5 linked regions of the Oryzias latipes genome follow. Each later gene encodes a partner of the first gene's protein in a complex. Links are inferred from orthologs where the notes say so. Each region holds a gene or a part of one and is shown in the gene's direction. Other genes may lie near its edges.

Evidence for each region.
Region 2: drc3 (region 1) and tcte1 share a complex: the UniProt entries of both Homo sapiens proteins name them as parts of the nexin-dynein regulatory complex. The link is inferred for Oryzias latipes from reciprocal best matches to the Homo sapiens genes DRC3 and DRC5.
Region 3: drc3 (region 1) and drc7 share a complex: the UniProt entries of both Homo sapiens proteins name them as parts of the nexin-dynein regulatory complex. The link is inferred for Oryzias latipes from reciprocal best matches to the Homo sapiens genes DRC3 and DRC7.
Region 4: drc3 (region 1) and growth arrest-specific protein 8 share a complex: the UniProt entries of both Homo sapiens proteins name them as parts of the nexin-dynein regulatory complex. The link is inferred for Oryzias latipes from reciprocal best matches to the Homo sapiens genes DRC3 and DRC4.
Region 5: drc3 (region 1) and efcab2 share a complex: the UniProt entries of both Homo sapiens proteins name them as parts of the nexin-dynein regulatory complex. The link is inferred for Oryzias latipes from reciprocal best matches to the Homo sapiens genes DRC3 and DRC8.

Annotation. Positions count from the first base shown.
Region 1 is NC_019866.2:12,376,658-12,380,688, reverse strand, and holds the start of drc3 (dynein regulatory complex subunit 3), read left to right. Parts: upstream 1-1,230; 5' UTR 1,231-1,349; intron 1,350-1,482; exon of another isoform or gene 1,483-1,504; 5' UTR 1,505-1,553; coding exon 1,554-1,692; intron 1,693-1,771; coding exon 1,772-1,888; intron 1,889-1,983; coding exon 1,984-2,150; intron 2,151-2,273; coding exon 2,274-2,420; intron 2,421-2,527; coding exon 2,528-2,647; intron 2,648-2,737; coding exon 2,738-2,850; intron 2,851-2,947; coding exon 2,948-3,122; intron 3,123-3,223; coding exon 3,224-3,355; intron 3,356-3,970; coding exon 3,971-4,031. Other genes in the region: tom1l2 (TOM1-like protein 2), read right to left, coding at 731-782. UniProt on the Homo sapiens protein: Component of the nexin-dynein regulatory complex (N-DRC) a key regulator of ciliary/flagellar motility which maintains the alignment and integrity of the distal axoneme and regulates microtubule sliding in motile axonemes.
Region 2 is NC_019882.2:5,921,380-5,925,384, reverse strand, and holds the start of tcte1 (T-complex-associated testis-expressed protein 1), read left to right. Parts: upstream 1-1,200; 5' UTR 1,201-1,288; intron 1,289-1,438; exon of another isoform or gene 1,439-1,509; 5' UTR 1,510-1,554; coding exon 1,555-1,654; intron 1,655-1,731; coding exon 1,732-2,294; intron 2,295-2,495; coding exon 2,496-2,945; intron 2,946-3,854; coding exon 3,855-4,005. UniProt on the Homo sapiens protein: Component of the nexin-dynein regulatory complex (N-DRC) a key regulator of ciliary/flagellar motility which maintains the alignment and integrity of the distal axoneme and regulates microtubule sliding in motile axonemes.
Region 3 is NC_019865.2:28,540,710-28,544,223, forward strand, and holds part of drc7 (dynein regulatory complex subunit 7), read left to right. Parts: intron 1-84; coding exon 85-192; intron 193-863; coding exon 864-1,010; intron 1,011-1,434; coding exon 1,435-1,574; intron 1,575-3,514. UniProt on the Homo sapiens protein: Component of the nexin-dynein regulatory complex (N-DRC) a key regulator of ciliary/flagellar motility which maintains the alignment and integrity of the distal axoneme and regulates microtubule sliding in motile axonemes.
Region 4 is NC_019861.2:21,837,618-21,841,287, forward strand, and holds the end of growth arrest-specific protein 8, read left to right. Parts: intron 1-1,250; coding exon 1,251-1,302; intron 1,303-1,393; coding exon 1,394-1,596; intron 1,597-1,701; coding exon 1,702-1,800; intron 1,801-1,926; coding exon 1,927-2,007; intron 2,008-2,108; coding exon 2,109-2,318; intron 2,319-2,410; coding exon 2,411-2,476; intron 2,477-2,560; coding exon 2,561-2,620; 3' UTR 2,621-3,163; downstream 3,164-3,670. UniProt on the Homo sapiens protein: Component of the nexin-dynein regulatory complex (N-DRC), a key regulator of ciliary/flagellar motility which maintains the alignment and integrity of the distal axoneme and regulates microtubule sliding in motile axonemes.
Region 5 is NC_019861.2:24,641,691-24,645,636, forward strand, and holds the start of efcab2 (EF-hand calcium-binding domain-containing protein 2), read left to right. Parts: upstream 1-1,141; 5' UTR 1,142-1,453; coding exon 1,454-1,478; intron 1,479-1,595; coding exon 1,596-1,665; intron 1,666-1,752; coding exon 1,753-1,825; intron 1,826-2,903; coding exon 2,904-2,980; intron 2,981-3,575; coding exon 3,576-3,618; intron 3,619-3,946. UniProt on the Homo sapiens protein: Component of the nexin-dynein regulatory complex (N-DRC), a key regulator of ciliary/flagellar motility which maintains the alignment and integrity of the distal axoneme and regulates microtubule sliding in motile axonemes.

The DNA of each region.
Region 1 (4,031 bases):
TATTAGATAAGATATTGCAAAGACTATGGCTAAAATGTCAGCAGAAGCAGAGGTGTAAAGCTGTTGTACTGTGTAGATGTGCATCATTCCTCCAGACTGTGATTTACCAGATTTCAATGATATTTGCATGATCATCATGCATCCAAAAATCCTTTTTTTATTTATGGAATTGAGCCAAACACACATTGTAGTACTGAAAACTGTCTTTGTTTGCACCAAGACTAAATGAAAAATCACATTCATTTTAACTGAGTCCACTTACTTACTACTGGAAATGAAATACCTAATAAAATAGATGCTACAGGATTACATAAATACGCTACGCCGCATATATTTTTCATTTAATGTCCATGAAGAAGGTGTAAAGACAAAAATGAAAAAGACAACACGCCCTGTCTGTCAACACAATCTTTATGATTTTAACGTTGTTTTGTTCGTTTCAAAGCGTTATAATATCATAACACATCAGATGCTATGTGAACGACTTAGCATCACAAGTTATCACTGTCAATTACAGTGATGAGTTGTGATTACAGTGTTTTTTACTGTTACAGTGTAATGCACTAAGTTCGGTTAGTTTGTTGTTAACATGAGCTTAGCTAAGTAGATGACGTTAGAACATGCCAGCTAGCTCCTTTTTTCCCCTCAGAGTCTTAGTGCAAATTCTCGAAATTCATACTGCACTAAAACAAAAACCTTTTCAACTCTGTAACACAATTTAGGGACATACCTATGCATTGGCCCACGGGTGTGCTATAAGGATTTCCAAGTAAGAACTCCATTTCGACAACAACCAAAACGCTTAGGGAGGACAGAAGCTGAGGCCCATAGGAGGCACAGTCAAGACCCGCCCACCGAATCCTATTGGTCAAAACTTACAATACCTGATATGCAATTGGTTGATGTCAATGTCTGTCAAAAGTATCAACAAAAAGACCCTCTGCTTAGATTTGTCTTTTTCCTTATTTCTAATGGTACAGTCTAACAAGTTTATTTATTTATTTATTTATTTATTGTTACGAAATTTGACATGTTTAAAAGTAGAGATGCACTGCAAAAATCATTTTTTATTAAACTTTTTTTCTGTATAAACCATTTCAGATCACATAGACGTCTCCATAAATAGACGGTATTCGGAGCTTTGGTTTTACCTTTCTAAGTTAAGTTCGAAAGATTGTCTAATTGTTCTTTTTTCCCCCGAGTCAATCTTGGGCACGTGAACGCATCAACAGCAACAACCTGTTGCTATGTAACAGCGTAGAAACAGACGCAAGTGTTACTCTCGCATGTTACGTATAGCTTCTATCAAACTATTTGGAGTTGGAAAATCCCATTAATTTTTGTAAGAGGTGAGTTTTTTAGTTTATTATCTGCTTAGTTTGCATCTTGTAGTGCGTCTGTGTTCACTCTGCGTGTTTTAACTCAGTCTTTTTAATTGAAAGTGTTGTTTGTCAGTAAAATCCACGTGTTTACACTTTTCAGATGGAATATTTATCTGTTTCAGACATGTTGTAAATTGAACTTTGATAGCTTTCAACACCAGAAACAGCAACATGGATCCAGTACCCAACAGGATGAACAGGGAGATGATCCAGAATGCAATAGAGAAAAACAGCATCAAATCTGATTTAATGTCCAAAGAGGACAACATTTGTCTCCCTGAAGCTGATGTCATTAAACTGGAATACCAAAGTAATGAGAGTAATAAAGTTAACCCTTAACAAATGCAGAAATAAGTATTTTATTTACATGGGGGTAATTTGTTTTGCAGATATCCAAAGGATTGACTCGTTGCAAGAATATACCTCCTTGGTTCGGCTTGACCTAAACAATAACCTCATTAAGAAGATCCAGGGCCTGGATTCTCTTATTAATTTGACATGGCTAAGTAAAAGGCGTTTTATCCTTGCCAGGAATATCACATGACTTTGAAAGACATATAAAATAACAGCATGAATGACCATCAGACTTGCTGTGTTACAGATCTGTCATTTAACCGGATCGAGAAAATCCAGGGTCTGACATCTCTGCAGAAACTCAAGGTCCTGAATTTGTCAAACAACCAAATCACCGTCATAGAGAACATGGACACACTTGACAACCTCACTCATTTCTTCATTGGATGTAACCTCCTAAACCAGCTGGAAAATGTAAGAACATTTATTTTCGTACAATAAATTTTTATTTTTAGTGCTACAAACATAGTTTAACATTGTGTGTGGCTTTTTAAAGATTTACTTTTAAAACCTTGTAAAACCTTGTGCATTTCCCAGGTTTTGTACCTAAAGAGGTTTAAGAAATTGGTCCACATTTACATGAAGGGAAATCTCTTCTCCAACGAGGACGATTACCAGTTTTTTATTGTTGCTTTTTTTCCAAACTTGACAGTCTTGGACAACAAATTGATTCTCCAGGAGCTGGTAAGTTATGACACAGAAGCATGAAACCTATATTAAAACTGTATTTTTTATGTGATTTTTTCTGTGTAAAATGCTTTGAGGTAAACCATTTATGTCTATGCATGCAGAAAGAAAAGGCATCCAGCAAATACCAAGATGACATCGAGAAAAGGAATCAAGAGGAGAGTCAAAAGCAACTAGCTGAAGAAGTTCTGCAAAAACAAGAAGCTGAACTGAATTTACACAAAGTACAAACACGCTTTTTCAGTTTGTTAATGCTGATTATCAGATGCCGTGATTTTTTCCTGCTGTCTAAAGTGTGCTCTTCTCTTTCATAGGAGGCCTTTGTTGAGTACCTCGATGGGCCACATTTGTTTAAAAGCATGTTTGATGAAGATACGTTCTCATCAGACAGACGTTCTGTTCCAGGAATAGAGGATCTCCTTCAGTCATATCCTTTGTTCCGATTTTCTAACACTCAGATTGATCACAGCTTGTTGAACAGCCTGAGCAGTTCCGTCATTGACCTCCTTAACTCTGTGCTTTACATTTGAAAACCAAATGGTGGGGCTGTGTAAGCAGTTGTTTGACAGAGGTTTGGCAGAGCGTGAACAGAGGGAAAGAGAGCTGAAGTCATTCTCCAGTTCCCAGGATGAGGTAGAGACGCACTACAAAAACCAAGCAATTCAAGTTCTGGAGGATTTTAATAGGCAGCACAAAGAGGCAAGAGAACAGGAACTGCTTTGTAAAATGAAAAAAAAAGTGTTCTTCAGTAAAAAAGAATATGGTACAACTAATCAATATTTTCTTTTGTCATCCTTTAGAGGATTAAAAAGTTGGAGCAATTAACCCTCCGAAACTCAGTTTCCGAGGAACTCAGCCGTGGCTATGATGAAATCAACAAACTCTCTGAAAGGCTGATGACACTGGAGTTTAAGCTTATCAGCAAGCTGGAGGTACTTCTGTTTGTACTTATGCATTTGATTGTTCTCACGTGTGAGTAATTTGTCATTTTTAAGAACATAGACGATCCAAAAGAAAATGCACTCCAAAAGTGTCTCTGTCTGCAACTTTTGAAATGGTTTATACATGCTTTTTACTTTAGTCTATTAATCAATTAATCATATGTCTATCTTTCTGTTTTTGTCAGCTTCCTAATACATTAAGTGAAAAGGATTCCCCTTTCTTTTTTAAGTCTTTCTGCACACGGATGTAATATAATCCTAAAGATTGGCAACCACTCAGTATTTGGCAATATAATCTCAAAATTAATAAAATTGCTTAACATTGAACAACACTGTTTTGTCAATCGAACATAATGTAACAAGCAAGGTAAGGTGTTGGGTTTCATCATTGCCACTTCACCATTTTAGCATAACTTGTATTCTTGTCTTTAAGTTCTTTAACTTAAGTTCAAAAGTCGATGTTCCAAAACTTCTATTTTAATCAGTTTTCGTCAAAAATATCGTTCTGCAAATCTGTTCTCTTCACACTTTGTTTGATTTTGGTTGTAGATTTTATTAATGTATCTCCAAATTATTCATTTTACTTTGATAACTCTATATTTTCAGGAGAACATCAGAAACGTTGAAACCTGCATCTCAGACAAGGTCACAGACTTCATTGAAATTG
Region 2 (4,005 bases), on another chromosome or scaffold:
AACAAAAACATTTTTTGCCAACTTTGTTTATGTGTATAAATAATTCTTATGAGAAAAAAAGCTGTATTTTCTATGAACAAACTCAGCATGTATGCATTTTTCCCCGCCTGAAATGGAGCTAAGCACCTGCTTCATGTTGTTGTTTACATGACAGATGGATTCACTCAAGTGATTTCTCATCCAAAAGGCACATGATCCATTTCCAAGGCCCATCTGGTAGTTTATTAGTCTGTGCTTTTCTCTGAGATCATCTCATTTTGGCCTAATGCAAGCCCTCCCTATTGTCAATATTACCAGTTTTTGCTTTTCAAATGACTAAGGATTCATTTATGTACATAATTTATTTATTTTAGTTTTATTACATCTATAAATAAAAACTGAATTCAGTAATTATTTGAAATTTAATCAATTTGTGCACGACTTGATTCATATGAACATAATGTGTTAATACATATTTTTTCCTATACATATGCAATTTATATTATTTAAAGTGCTTCTTACGATTAAAACAAAGTTAAAATCATTTTGTGTAACATTCAAAACTGAATAAATGTTGTAGCTGTTTTTTTATTTAAATGGCAACATTTGATATTTGATCATTTTTATATTTTATTATTATTATATATTTCATACCTGTTTTAGTCCAAACAACATGCCATCAGTTTGAAGAACACAAAATGATGCACAATGATTATGCAATTATTCTTTCTGAGCAAAAATACATTATATAAAATAATTCAAAACTTTCAGAATTATATTTAAACATTTTTAATCAACCAAGAGCCAATTCCGTGCAAAGTATAATTGACATATTTAAGTGAATCTATATTTATCAATTAAATCCATTAATGAATTAGAAAATAATTGGTGTATTTTAAAGGAAAAACAATAACGCTAAAAGCACTTGTAGCAGCAGTACTTGAAGTTACTGTTCTCGCGTCAGAGGTTTGAGAACCCTCAAGTATGGCGGAGTTGTTCTTTTTCTTTTAGTTTGTGGTGTTCATATTCGACTTTTAAATCCCATAACAACGAATGTTGTGAGTCTAGTTCGAATGATCTCAGTCTACTCTCATTATCTTCAGCTAATAGACTCGTTTAAGGTATGTTTTGTGTAAATTGCTTGATAATTTTAAAGTAGCGACGGGAATTATTTTTATGTTTGTAGTTAGTGACGCTGAAGCTAAGATTTCCTTGAAGCCTCAAACTACACACGAATGATTCGATTTCCATGGCAACGACTGGAAGTTTCCATAACAGGACACGGGGGGCTTTGTTTACGTTCGTAAACGTGAGTTTATTTGTCTTCTTTTTGATTAAATATCTTTTTAATCTTACTGAAATGCACTTCAGATAATTCTTTGCGGTTTTTGTCAATATACTTTTTGACATATTTACGCAAATTACTTCTTTGAACTGAAGTATTCAATAGACCATTTATTTAGCGTTAGCTAGCTACTTTCTCCAGTTTCCAAGATGTTTACTTCTTAAATGTTTATTGTTTGTTAACAGGATTTGTATGAGACAGTTTGAAAGCTACAAAAATAAAAGATAAACATGAGGAGGAGGATCATTGCTGAAGATCCAGACTGGTCTATCACCACAGTGCCCAGTTTATCCATTCTCTGCCTGCAAATCATTGTGAACAACTTTGAAAGTATGTATAATTTTCCTGCAGCTTCGGTTTTTGCAAAAAGTGGAGCCACTTGACTGCACAGTTCCTCTTTGTTACAGGAAACCCAATATTTGAGATGCTCACAGCTGCCCAGAAGGAGTTCCTGCAGGAGAGACTGTCCCTTTCCCTTCCTGTCCAAGTCACAGCCAGCGTGCTCCCTGAGGGGCCCTACTGGAGGCGCTGTTGCCAGCAGAAGTTGGCCTTCTGTGATGTCTCTGTTCACGGCCACAGCTGGAAACGAATGTTTTTGGAGAAGCACTTGGAGAAGATCATTGAACTTTTCATCCCAAATGTAACCGACCCGCAGACCGTTCTTGATGTCGTATCAGTTTGTGAAAAATACGTCAAGCGTCTGGACATCTCACAGCTCCTGGTTCCTGTCGTGGAGCCTCAGAAGAAGAGCAAGGAGAATGATCATGACTTTCATTGGAAGAGGTATGTGCCTCCCATGGACCACTTTGACTTTAACATCCTGCTTCAGAGGCTGACAAACCTGGAAGAGCTCCACCTGGTTTATAGAATCAAACAATGTGGCATGAACTTTGCATGGAATATGTTTGAGATGACATACAGAGACTGTGAGACCCTCGCCAAGGCTCTTCAGTCCTGTAAGACACTGAAGGTATCAGTTATTCTTTGTGTTTTACAAATTTTACTATCTTAAAGGTTTGTTGGAATGAACTTGTTGCGTAGTTGAATGATTTAATGTGTTAATCCTTTAAATCTGGTCATTATCCTTTTTATCCTTAACTTTAAAGCTTTTATTTTGATGGCTCTAAAAGTTTCCCTCTGTATTCCGTCGTCATTTATCCTCAATATTAAGCTTTTCAGGCTCCACCAAAGCCACATGGATGACAGAAAGTGTCAGCTGCTGGTGAAACACCTCATGGACCACCCTTCCCTGGAAGAACTCGACTTTTGTCACAACAAGATTGGAGACGTTGGAGCCAGGGCCATCAGCAAGCTGCTCACCAGGAATAAACTGCAGACTCTTAACTTGTGCAACAACCTTATTAGCTGCCAGGGGGCCAAAGCCATAGCTCTGGCCTTATCTAAGAACTGCACTCTTGAGTCCCTTAATCTGCTTCTGAATATGATAAAGGATGAAGGGGGTCAGGCCATTGCCGAAGCTTTGCTGAACAACACAACTCTACACAATCTGAACCTGGGAGGAAATTATCTGACTTCAGTCACTGCTGAGGCTGTGTCTAAAGTGCTCACAGAGAATACAACTCTGCAAAGCCTTAATCTGTCCTGCAACCAGCTCTGTGAGGTAAGGACATGTCCACGTTTGTTTCTTTTAACTGGAACATAAATGAATCGGTTAGTTCAAAAGGGGCCCAAGTCCAAGAGGTTTGTTTTTCCAGGAAATGATTTGAATTGCATATCTTAAAGGGGGGCTACACCAAATGATTAACATTTTACCCAGATTAAGCACCAGTTCATAGCTTCAAATGCTATAATATGAAGCACCTCACTTTTATAATTTCAGAAGACTAGCAAACTAAAGTCTCTGGACTTTGGCTCTTCTTGAATTAAACAGGGGCGCTGCCATATTGGATAACTAGTGCTGCCATCTATGGGATAAAACAAAACCCATGCAGGAGAGGCCCAAGTCCAGGAATTTTGCACTTAATGCATTTTAAATGTCAAGCATACATTACAACAGACTTGGGACTTTTTTGCACAAAATTCAGATAACTTTTTCTTTGAAGCCCGTAGAACATATAATATCTCTATTATGAAAAATTGTGGACTTGGACCCCTTTTGAACTAAACGATTCAATTTGTTCATCCCAAAACTCTGCTGCTCCCTTTGTTGACACAGTCAGGGTTGCTGCAAGGATTCTCAATTATTTATCGATGTCTGCAGAACACAGGCAGTAATGGAAAGAGTAGGAAGTGGGTTTTTTTCCCCCCATAAAAATAGATTTACAACTATCCCCTGCAGCTCTGCTGCCACAGTTCGTGGTATCTGTGACTGAAGTGATCTGGTGGATCAAAAATCATTCACACAGCAGAAATGAAACCATCAATACTTCTGACCTCGGTCCACTCCAGCTTAAAGAAAAACAAGTTCTGTTGACGAGTTTTAAAACTTACTAAGCTGAAAAAATGACCAAAAGGTGAATTTTAGTCTTCTTATGTTTTATATTTTTGTATTCTAACCCCATGTCTGCAGGTTGGAGGTGAGGCTTTGGTGGCTGCGTTGTCACAGAACTCCACTATAAAAGAATGTGACGTCCACCTGACCCAAGTTGATGATCAGAGATCTTTCCTCATCAACAAGCTGCTTTGGGCCAACCAGATGTCACAGTTAAAAACACAACGAA
Region 3 (3,514 bases), on another chromosome or scaffold:
AAATCTGATCTTTTTTTCCAATCATTAAATGTGTTGTTGCATTTGGTTTGATTAACTCTATGAACATGTGTGATGTGTGAACAGATAGAGGACATTGTGGCCTGCAGGGAGCAGGAGCAGAATCAGGTGAAGCTGAGGAAGAGGATTAAAGAAGCTGTCCCGACATGCGAAGACGAGGAGCAGAGGGTAGAGGTAAGATCTTAAGCCCGAGCCCGAGTCAGAACGAATTTCGGGCCGGGTCGGGGACTAAAATGACAATCATTACGTTCGGGTTGGGTCGGGCCGGGCTTCTCTCTCGCTGCCTTTTTTAATAAATATATGTTTATAAAAATGTATACTAAAACGATGTGTGGATACTAAACTAAGGAATACTTGTCATAAATAAATAATCTGGTTAAAACAGAGAAGGCGCTGTAAGGTAATTGCTATATAACTACTACTAAACAGGAAGCGCGGCTGCAGTATTTCTCCGCGTAATGAAGCGAGTGCGCATCAAGATCTCTCTTTCATTCTCTTTGTCTGGCCTCTTATTCTGTGGTCCGGCGTTATTTCGTTGTCCAGATGCATTTATCATGATCATAAAAATATGTAGATTATTTTAACCTTAAGAAATCTTGCGTTTTTTTCTGCCAAAAATACTGTGGGATAAATTAAAATTTCAGGTTTGCTTGGGGCTCGGGCCTGCAAATAAGTTAATTGGTCGGGTTCGGGCTGGGTTGGGCTTTAATGCCTGTGTCGGGTCGGGCTGGATTATTTAGGCCCAATCTTACCTCTAGCAGAGGGTGAAACATTAACACACACACCAATACACACCGAGTATAATGACACAATCATATTATCTGTTTCTTCTCTTGACCTTGAAGGATGAAAACTCGCTGGAAAGCTGGAAGGTTTTGATCAGCAAGAACCTGGACGCAGAGGAGGCCAATAGGCTGTATCACAGCCTCCTGGAGGAGTTCAAAGACAAAATGGTGGCACAAGCCAACCTCCTCCAGGAGCGTTATGAGAAGGTGGATTGTTGGACGCGGTTTCTCACTTTAATGTTTATTTATGATTATTTTGTAAACTCCATAAATCATTAACTCCGTCTTTCTAGGCTCTGGTGATGGGGAAATCAACCAATGGTTCACACAGTTCTTCACTTCTAGCCATCATAAATGGAAACTAATAACTACTGCAGCTTCTGATGTACTTGAACCTTCATATAGTGTAAACTGTTACGTCATATAATTTGTTGTAAAGTTTGGAATATTGATTAACACGAAAGCCCACCTGGGCTGCTGGGATGTGGCAGCGACTTATAAACTTCAATCAAATATCTTCTGCTCTGATTGCAGACCACTTATGTTAGTTTGAAGATCCAGACTTAAGGCTTGCTTATACGTAAACTGTAGATTGGGGCCCAGTACTTACATGGTCACATTTGGGTTATAGGACACACGGGAGTTGCATGCAAAACAGAACCAGTACCGGCGAAACCACCTCACAATGACTGAAAAGCAGCTGGAAGAATACCAATGCTTCTGCTCAGAAAAAACAACACAGATAAAAGCCACTCAGATTCGCCTCAACAGGTACACACCCACACACACACAGGTACACACACACACACGCACACAATGGACGGACTAAAAGTTCCTACAGTCACCTCAACTGCAGTTAGATTAGGATGTTAGTTCAAATTCATTTGATGTGCTACAACATTTACATGCTGATATCTCTGTTGAAATTAAATGATTCTTCTTTATTAATTTATTGTACTTCTTGAACTCTCATATTTCTGAATTTGAGGCTGCAGATATTCTCATTTTTGTATCGTGAAAATGAATGATGAAGTTTGGATTTGGAATACATTCTTTATGTTGAGTTATCATGACTCTGATTCCAACTTCAGTTTTTGCAATACCACATGGCACTAGGGGTGCTAAATAAACTCATCACCCTCTCCTTCCCTCTCACTCATGGTGCAGAAAGAATTAAACAAATCCGTCCAGACAGGTAAAGGGAATGGTATCCCACAATTCCTTGCGCTGCCGATCTAACAGCAGCACCAAAGTTACACCTACTTAATATAACTAATTTGAATGAAAGTAAAATAAATGTCTTAAAACTGTGTTATTTTTAAGCTGACTGAACTCAAAAAATGATTTATCTTAACTGAAGCAAATAATTAAGTTTATCTTTCCAACATCCATACATGGTCTTATCAGCCCCTCATGGTGGAAAAAGTATTATCTGAGCTTCTTCATCCACTAAATCATCTTCAAATGGACACGCCATGCTGCTTCACCTCTCTAAAAAACAAACTAACCTTAAACTAAACCTGCTCCAGACCAGGTTATGTTCAGAGCATGAGTTGCTAGGGGAACTTGACATACCCTGAAACATACCTCCATTTCTGGAACCGAAAGCGGTGGTTGTACACTTCTTTAGCCTCAAACTTACCGTGGGAGCTAGCATAACCTGCTTTTTGGAATACCCCCCTGGTCTGCACATAACGCTCGGAAAGGAAGGCAGAGTGGCACAAACAATACTTTGCGCTGAGCTTCACTCAGTGCAGAGCTTAAGTATGCTGTGGTTGATGAATGAGAGTCAGGTGTGAGGCATCCAGGAAGTGTGCGCTGGGGGGTTGTAGTGTCAATAGAACTCCGGGATCAGCTCCCGCTGGTGACCAGAGGGGAAGAACAAACTCATCCTTCTGACAGCCTGTGAGTGAAGTAGTCGCAGGCGGGCTACTTTTTCATGACGGACAAAAGTTACATGTAGTGCCTTGTAGCAAATAATCCATCTATCTATCCATCTGAGTTTTTGTGCCACGAGAAAAAGAAATTCTGGAGGATAAATTTTTTTGTTTCTTACTTACAGGAAAAAAAAGTCAAAATGTCGAAAATAAAGTCTAAATAAAGTTTTGAGAAAAAAGTTGAAATGTTGAGATTAAAGTCGAAACGAGGAAAACACACCCAAGTTGTCTGTTTATCGGAGCCTTGCTTGAAGATGAAAGATGAGAGGGACTCAAAATCAGATAATTGTCTGTGCAGCCGTCTTTCCGGGGTTCGGTGTTGGTAAAGTAAAGTAAAGTGTCATCAGTAAAATAAGGAGCTCAGAGACACGTTTAGGGGAAGAGGACCGCTATTTTATTTTCCTTTTCATTCACATACCCAGAAGTCCATTTGTCATGAACCTGTCATGCGCAGATCAGCATGTGTAAAAACTGTTATATACGTCCCTTCCCCCACATGAAACGTCCCGTTTCAACATAAAACAACAAAGATGAATGAAAATAGTCTGTTACATTAGCAGAACGTTGAAATTGCCAAAAACTGCTCCTCCTCAGACGGAAGCGTCACACAGACTTAGAGGTCTTGTCTTTGGAGGAAGAATGGATAGAAGTAGACAGCTGCAGGGACACCGATGTCTTCATCAACGGCTGCAGAGATCCTGCAAACCACCCATCAATAAAGAAAACATTAATAAAACCGTTAACCAAACAATAGTAAACATTCAGCTTACCTGT
Region 4 (3,670 bases), on another chromosome or scaffold:
TATTATTCAGAAGTTTAAGACCCACGGGACAGTAGCCAACCTCCCTGGACGTGACCGAAGAGGAAAATTGATGACAAATTGAGGAGACGGATAGTTGGAACTGTATCCAAAGAGCCCAGAACAACCTCCAAAGACATTAAAGGTGAACTCCTAGATCAAGGTACATCAGTGTCAGATCACACCATTCGTCGTTGTTTGAGCCAGAGTGGACTTCGTGGGAGACGATCAAGGAGGACACCACTGTTGAAAGGAAATCATAAAAAAGCCAGACTGGAATTTGCAAAAATGCATGTTGACAGGCCACAAAGCTTCTGAAATGATGTCCTTTGGACATATGAGACAAAACTGGAGCTTTTTGGTAAGAAACATCAGCTCTATGTTCGTAGACTCAAAAATGAACCAAACAACCAAAAGAACACTGTCCCTACTGTGAAACATGGAGGAGGCTCAGTTCTGTTCTTGGGCTGCTTTGCTGCATCTGGCACAGGGTGTCTTGAAGTTGTACAAGGTAAAATGAAATCTCAAGATCATCAAGGCATTCTGGATAGAAATGTGCTGCCTAGGGTCAGAAAGCCTGGTCTCAGCCGCAGGTCATGGGTCTTCCAACAGGACAACGATCCAAAACACACAGCCAAAAACACCCAAGAATGGCTAAGAGAAAAGCGTTGGACGATTCTGAAGTGGCCTTCTATGAGCCCAGGTCTGGATCCCATTGAACATCTGTGGAAGGAGCTGAAACATGCCATTTGGAGAAGACACCCATCAAACCTGAGACAACTGGAGCAGTTTGCTCATGAGGAGTGGGCCAAAATACCTGTGGACAGGTTCAGAAGGCTCATTGACAAATACAGAAACCGTTTAATTGCAGTGATTGCCTCAAAAGGTTGTGCAACAAAATATGAAATAAATTTTCAAGAAATTTTAATTTATTATTACTTTTGAACGTTTCAAGTCATTTCAGTGAGCATTGTGGACTTTCTTTCTTTAACTGAGCGGTACCAACAATTTTGTCCACCACTGTAACATCTAGTCCTATAAAACAGACCTATTAACTCTATTTAGAGTTCTTCTAACTGTCAAGCTGTTTTACTTTACATGTTGGCAGCACCATTCAAAACAACACCCACATACGGTATTTGACACGAACATTTTGTCAGGAAATGATGAGCATTACATACTACACACAAGGGACTCCCAGAATACCTCTAAGAGGCGTTTTACACAAATTTGTGATTAATTTTTATCTTCAGTTACAGGATGAGGTTACTAAAACAAGGAGCAACTGGGAGCAGCAAGTCACAGGTAAATGAAACTAAACTCTTAGCTGAATTTAAGACAATTGTGTTTTTTAGAAATGAACTCAAAAGTCCCATTTTTGACATTATCTGTGCAGAAACCGCTGCAAAATATGAAGAATGTCTTAAGCTGTTCCAAGAAGAGTTGGAAAATACTGAAACAAGTTTGGTCATGAATTGTGAACTGGAACGAGACACCCACATTGTGGCTTTCCAAGAGGAAATGAGGGAAGTCTTCAACAGCATTCAGGAAGTCAATATTTTAATGGAGCAGAATAGAGAGATAATAAATGAAATCCAGGTAGGTTTTATTTTAAAATAGATATATAAAACAAATGTGTTCAGGACAAAAATGAAATAGTTTTATACTTTAGTAATCACTGCATGTTTTCTTTGCACCTCCTAGAACAAAATTTTACAAGAGAAGGAAATTCAAGTTTATGATATCCCCAAAGTTCAGAAGACCAACATTAAGAAGAAAGCAGATTTCCACTTGAAAAATAAGGTTATTGTTATGTTGATACTTCTGTTTTTTAAATATCAGTGTGACTTATTGAAGTGTATTCAAATTAATGTACATAAAAACTCAAATAAAAAGTGTAATGTGTCACTTTATTACTTTTCTTCACAGCAATCTATCAAAATTCCTGAAACAAAGACCGTTGAGGACCTGAAATTAGAAAATGAAGCACTAGAACAAAAATTCAACGGGGTGAAAGATAAAAATCCCACTTCACACGATTCATTGTTTTGAAGTCGAGAAAATATTAATATTCTATTTGTTTTTTCTTAATCCCATGTTGATTCACACAGCTTCAACTGGAAAAGGCAAAGTTGTACAATTCAGTGACTCCAAATATTGAGAGAACCCGTGAAAAAGTGGGTTTGAGGAGCGCACAGCTCAGGAGGAAGCTGCAGGACCTGACGGACAGTCTGGCAAGGTCACAGACTCAGCTCTTCACTGTTCTCTCAGACCCAAACATGGACCACAATGTTCTCAGTGAAATTGCAAACAAAAGTGAGGTAATGTTTCACACTCCTGTGTTCTCTGCTTTAAAACTCACTTTTGCCATATCTTTAGAAAAAGGATAACTGACAAAAAGTTTTGTCTGTAGGAAAATTTGGACAGAAGAAAATCTGCCATTAGGAACATTGCATACAAAAAGAATGAGATCTTGAAGGTTAGTCATTCTTTTACCTCATTATTTATTTATTTATTTTGTAATGAAAAGACTGTGTATGTAATGCAAATGTGTATCCCGCAGGCCCGAAGTCATCTGCTGCTGACCGGTGAAGAAAACCCGATGTTTAAGTCTCATAGATAAGATTCTGTTAGATCTCTTATTTGGAAAGCAGAACCTGGATTTCTGGAAGTGAAATGACAAATCTCACGTCTGAATTAAAAGAAAATTGTAATGTCTTTATGATTTTACAGAGTGGACTCATAAAAAATATAAGTTTGCTTCATAACAAATTATAGTATAAGAATGGATTTGCTGCAATTTAAATCTAAAGTAATGATCCATTAAAACAGACAACACATGTAAGTTTATCTTTGTGGCTTTACTGTCCTCTACAGGCTACGTACAATAACTGCAACCGCTCAGCTTCAAGCCTTTAAAGTAAAATCAAAATCTCAAATTTAAAGATTAAAAAAACAAACTAATGGTTGTATCCATGTTTTAAAACCGATGTGAATCAGGAACCTCTTGAACTTAAAAATAAATCTTTCAAGGGTCTTGATTTTGCCCTTTTCTTTTAAATTAATTACTTTTACTTCAAAATAATTCATAGTTTCATTTATAGTTAACATTTTCTCTGTAGCAAAGAAAAAAAATGCTTCAAAATAAATGTTTTATTAATCATTATCTGTATAGAATTGAAGTTTTGTTGACATATCTGCACCGCTGAAGCTACATTGTGATTACCGTAATTGTATTTAATACCATGTTACAGATGTTTAGCATCTGCTTTGGCACACTGTTGTGCAAAAAGGATGGAGAAAATAACCAGAACAATTTGATTCATTGAAAACTAAAAGAAAAACAAGAATTTGGGCCTGTTATTTGTTCCCTGTTGTTGTATTAATTAACTAATAATTTATTTTATTGTAGCAGTTGACATGTTTTTTTCTGTGTACTTTTTTCTGTAAAGGCTGGTTTTATCTTTCAAATACGTTGAAGGTTTTTCTTCCCCTGTCTGAAAATTTAGAACATTATAATGGAACTGAGTCAGTACACATTGAGGGCGAGTACAGTTATGAAGAGGCAACCTTTTGTGGGTATTTAGTTTTTTATTAAGATGGAGCAGCATTGTTTTTAGAAAGAGAATAATCTCCCTACATTTTTTTTTTCTCCTCAAAGATGTTTGCTATT
Region 5 (3,946 bases), on another chromosome or scaffold:
TTGGAATGTTCCTCCATGCAGATCTCCTCTAGAGCCGGGATGTTTTGGGGCTGTCGCTGGGCAAAACAGACTTTCAACTCCCTCCAAAGAATTTCTATGAGGTTGAGATCTGGAGACTGGCAAGGCCACTCCAGGACCTTGAAATGCTTCTTAAAAAGTCATTCTTTTGTTACCCAGGCAGTATGTTTGGAGTCGTTGTCATCCTGAAAGACCCAGCCATGTTTCATCTTCATTGCCTTTGTTTATGGAAGGAGGTTTTCACTCAAAATCTGACAATGCATGGCCTCATTAAAATTTTCCTTTACACGGATCAGCAGTACCTTTGCTGAGAAACAGCCCCAAATCATGAGGTTTCCACCCCCATGCTTTACAGCAGGTACGGTGTTCTTTGGATGCAACTCAGTATTCTTTCTCCTCCAAACACGACGAGTATCGATCTTACCAAAAAGTTTTATTTATTTCATCTGACCATAGGACATTCTCCCAGTCCTCTTCTGAATAATCTTATCATCTTAATTCTCTCTAGCAAACATGTACTGTCTTTAGCAAGGGGATATGTCTGGGACTGCAGGATTTGAGTCCCTGGCGGCGTAGTGTGTTACAGATGTAGTCTTTGTTACTTTAGTCCCAGCTCTCTGCACGTCATTCACTAGGTCTAATTGTGTGGTTGTGTGGTTGTGTATTTTTGCTCATTGTGATCATTCCGACCCCACGGGGGGAGAACATCTTCCAGGGAGCCCCAGAGGGAGGTAGATTATCAGTGGTCTTGTATGTCTTCCATTTCCTAATAATTGCTCCCACAGTTGATTTCTTCACAGCAAGCTGCTTACCTTTAGCGGATTCAGTCTTCCCAGCCTGGTGCAGGTCAACATTTTTGTTTCTGGTGTCCTTAGACAGCTTAAGGTTGTGTACTGGTGTATTTTCTATAGACAAGCATACATTTTCAGACAACCATCAAACAGGTGCCAGTAATTAAGGTGACGAGTGGCAGACAGAGGATCCTCTTACAGAAGAAGTTCCAGGTCTATGAGAGCCAGAAATCTTGCCTGTTTGTAGGTGACCAAATTCTTATTTTCCACCATAATTTGAGAAAAAAGTTCTTTAAAAGTCAGACGCTGTGATTTCCTGGAATTGTTTTCTTATTATGTCTCTCATAGTTGAGGTATAATGACAAGTACAGGCCTTTCTCATCTTTTTAAGTAGTAAAACTTTGGCACCATTGGTGACTGACTAAATACTTTTTTGCCCCACTGTAAGCTTTTTCAGATAAAGTTTTAGACTTGATGAGTTGGAAAAATTATTTATCCAATATGCAAACAGATATCATTATAGGTCATTAAGTGTCTCAGAATTAATTAGGTTATTAAGGAAACAGTACATTTTTTTTGTTGGTAAAAGAATATTAAGTAGGGTGTCACTCGGTTGCTAAGCAACACGACAACACCAGGCAGACATGGCGGAAGCCGGTGAAACAGCAGGTCAGTCAGAGTTTCTTTACTGGTTTAAAATTTGTTTAGTTTTTGTTATTACAATTCATTTATTTTTTTCAATATATAAATTAGATGAATACAGTCTATTTGTGCTTTGGTTATCAGAAATCCAGAGGAAAATCCGCGCAGCCTTTCACGTGTTTGACCACAAAGCTGACAACACCGTGGACGTCCGGTGAGCTTTAAAGATCCCAAACTTATTTCATTAACTCAAACAAGTCAAGAGTAACTCAGCGCCCACTCCGAAAATGTTGTTTTGCAGTGAGGTCAGCACCATCATCTATTCGCTGGGATGTTTCCCCACCAAAGCAGACATCCATCGCTTCGTGGATGAGGTCAGTAAGTTCCGCCCTCCTCGCAGGCGGGCAAAATAGTGTGCCATTTGCTTCTTCTAGACCTTCCTACAAGTACAACAAACTTTTACTTTGAAATTTCTTTTCTTTTTTTTTTTTTTGCGCATCTCTCCGTGCGCTTTTTTTTCTCTCCATCTGTTTCTGTCCATATCTGGACAGCTGGAGCCTTCACCCCCTTCTTGTACCTCCTCATTCAGGAGCGTTTGGCCATCATTGGAGCAGCAAATATAGGATGATTAGGTGTCGCGTGGTCTGACTGTAACGTCGTATCGCTGATTTTACAGAAAATATATGTTGACCCGCAGAATCAACTTAAGAGCTAATTTTTTTTTGATTCAGCCGCTTTTGTATCAATTCTTTATTCTCTGTTGCATTGTTTTAACCTAAAAACTTTAGTGCGTGCCGAATCCTTGTTTTACGCGCTTTGCGCATGTTGATCATTGCGCAGCAGCAGTCCAAGAGAATCACAAAAATAAATAAAAATAAGCATTGATGAAAAGCACGGACCGTCTATTTGCGCAACTTCTCACTCTTTTAGTCAGTCAGGCCTTGATTTCAGGCTTATTTGCTGTATTGCCACGGTTGGTACAATGACTTCAGTAGTGTAATTTATTTTATATAAAAAAGATGTAAAAACGAAAGATAAAACATTTAAATGACTGTTGAAAGGGCCTCACACACTTATGTGCCCAGGGCCCCCCCTGCAGTTTAATTTTGCCTCATATAGATTGTTGTAATATATTTTAAAGCCACATTTTGCCACACCTTCAAAATAGTCAGCATATAAATAGCATTCAATTCTTTAACAATAGTTAGAACTGAAGAATCTACTGGCAGAAATGTCTTCCGGATAAACCTTAAAAGTCCAGTTACCCTGAAGAACTGTGTCATCCTGCCATAACATTTATGATTGAAAAATCTTCACAGATGTAAAACACCACATTCAGAACATTTAAAAAATACATATAAATTTGTTATAATTACATTTGATTAACTCTGATTAACTCTCTTGTTTTGTAACATCTTTCAGAACTTTTGTCACAAAATTCTGTTCACACAGGTGGAGGAGGACAATATGGGATATGTTCACTTGGACAAGTTCCTACCAGTCATGACCAAAGTAATAATGGAGAACAAGTAAGAAAGTTCTGCTTTCTACATTATTTTCCAGTCACATTTTAAATTCATTCAACTTTTTTTGTCTGCTTCAGAAAAGAAAAAACAGTGGAAAAACACACTCATGTTAGCCTTTCTGTACAGCTGACACAATTTTTTTATGATGATAAATAAAACTGTCATTTATCACCTAGCATGCTGCAGATAATGTACTAGAGAGACCCAATGGCAAGGCGGTTCAGACTTTACTAAAAACACTGTAAACAAAAAAATATGTGATCTCCTTCAATACGAGATTTGGAAACATCTTCTTGTGCTGTTGGGTTGAATAAATTCAACATTTGAACCCACTTTTCATTGTATGTGGTGTTGTATTGCATGAGCAACTTGGAGTTTGACACCTTTATCTGAGAGCAACTGATCCCCTCATTATCACTCCTCAGCATTCAGCATTGCATGGTCAATGACTCTGCCTCAAAAAGATCTTCATTACACTATAGTTGCCATGCCATTACATTCTGAGACTAACTGGGACCTCCTGTTTACTTTGGAAAATTGTGCAAAGCTCTATTTGTAAACGGGAAAAATAATCTTTATTTTTAATTCTGTTTGTTAGGTTTCCTCCCATTCCTGAAGAGCATTTGCGTCAGGCGTTTGAGGTGAGAGGACACCCAGTTTCACTGTATCGCCAAGACCCATAGTTCACGATCTCCGTCCACTAAGGGGAATGACAGTCTCACGTCTTTGTCTGATGACTGCACATAACTTTCTTCAGCTTTACCTGCAGCCACAGTAAAGGAAAGAAAATTAATGGTAAAACTTCCTTAAGGCCCTGGTAAAGTTTGCATGTTCCCCTGGTGATTGCTTTGTTTCCCTGGGCACTCCAGCTTCCTCCCAAAGTCCAAAAACATGCTTCACAGGATAATTGAAGATTCAATTATCCTGTGTCAAAGCTGGGTAGGCTCCCGTGATCCCAACTGGGAATAG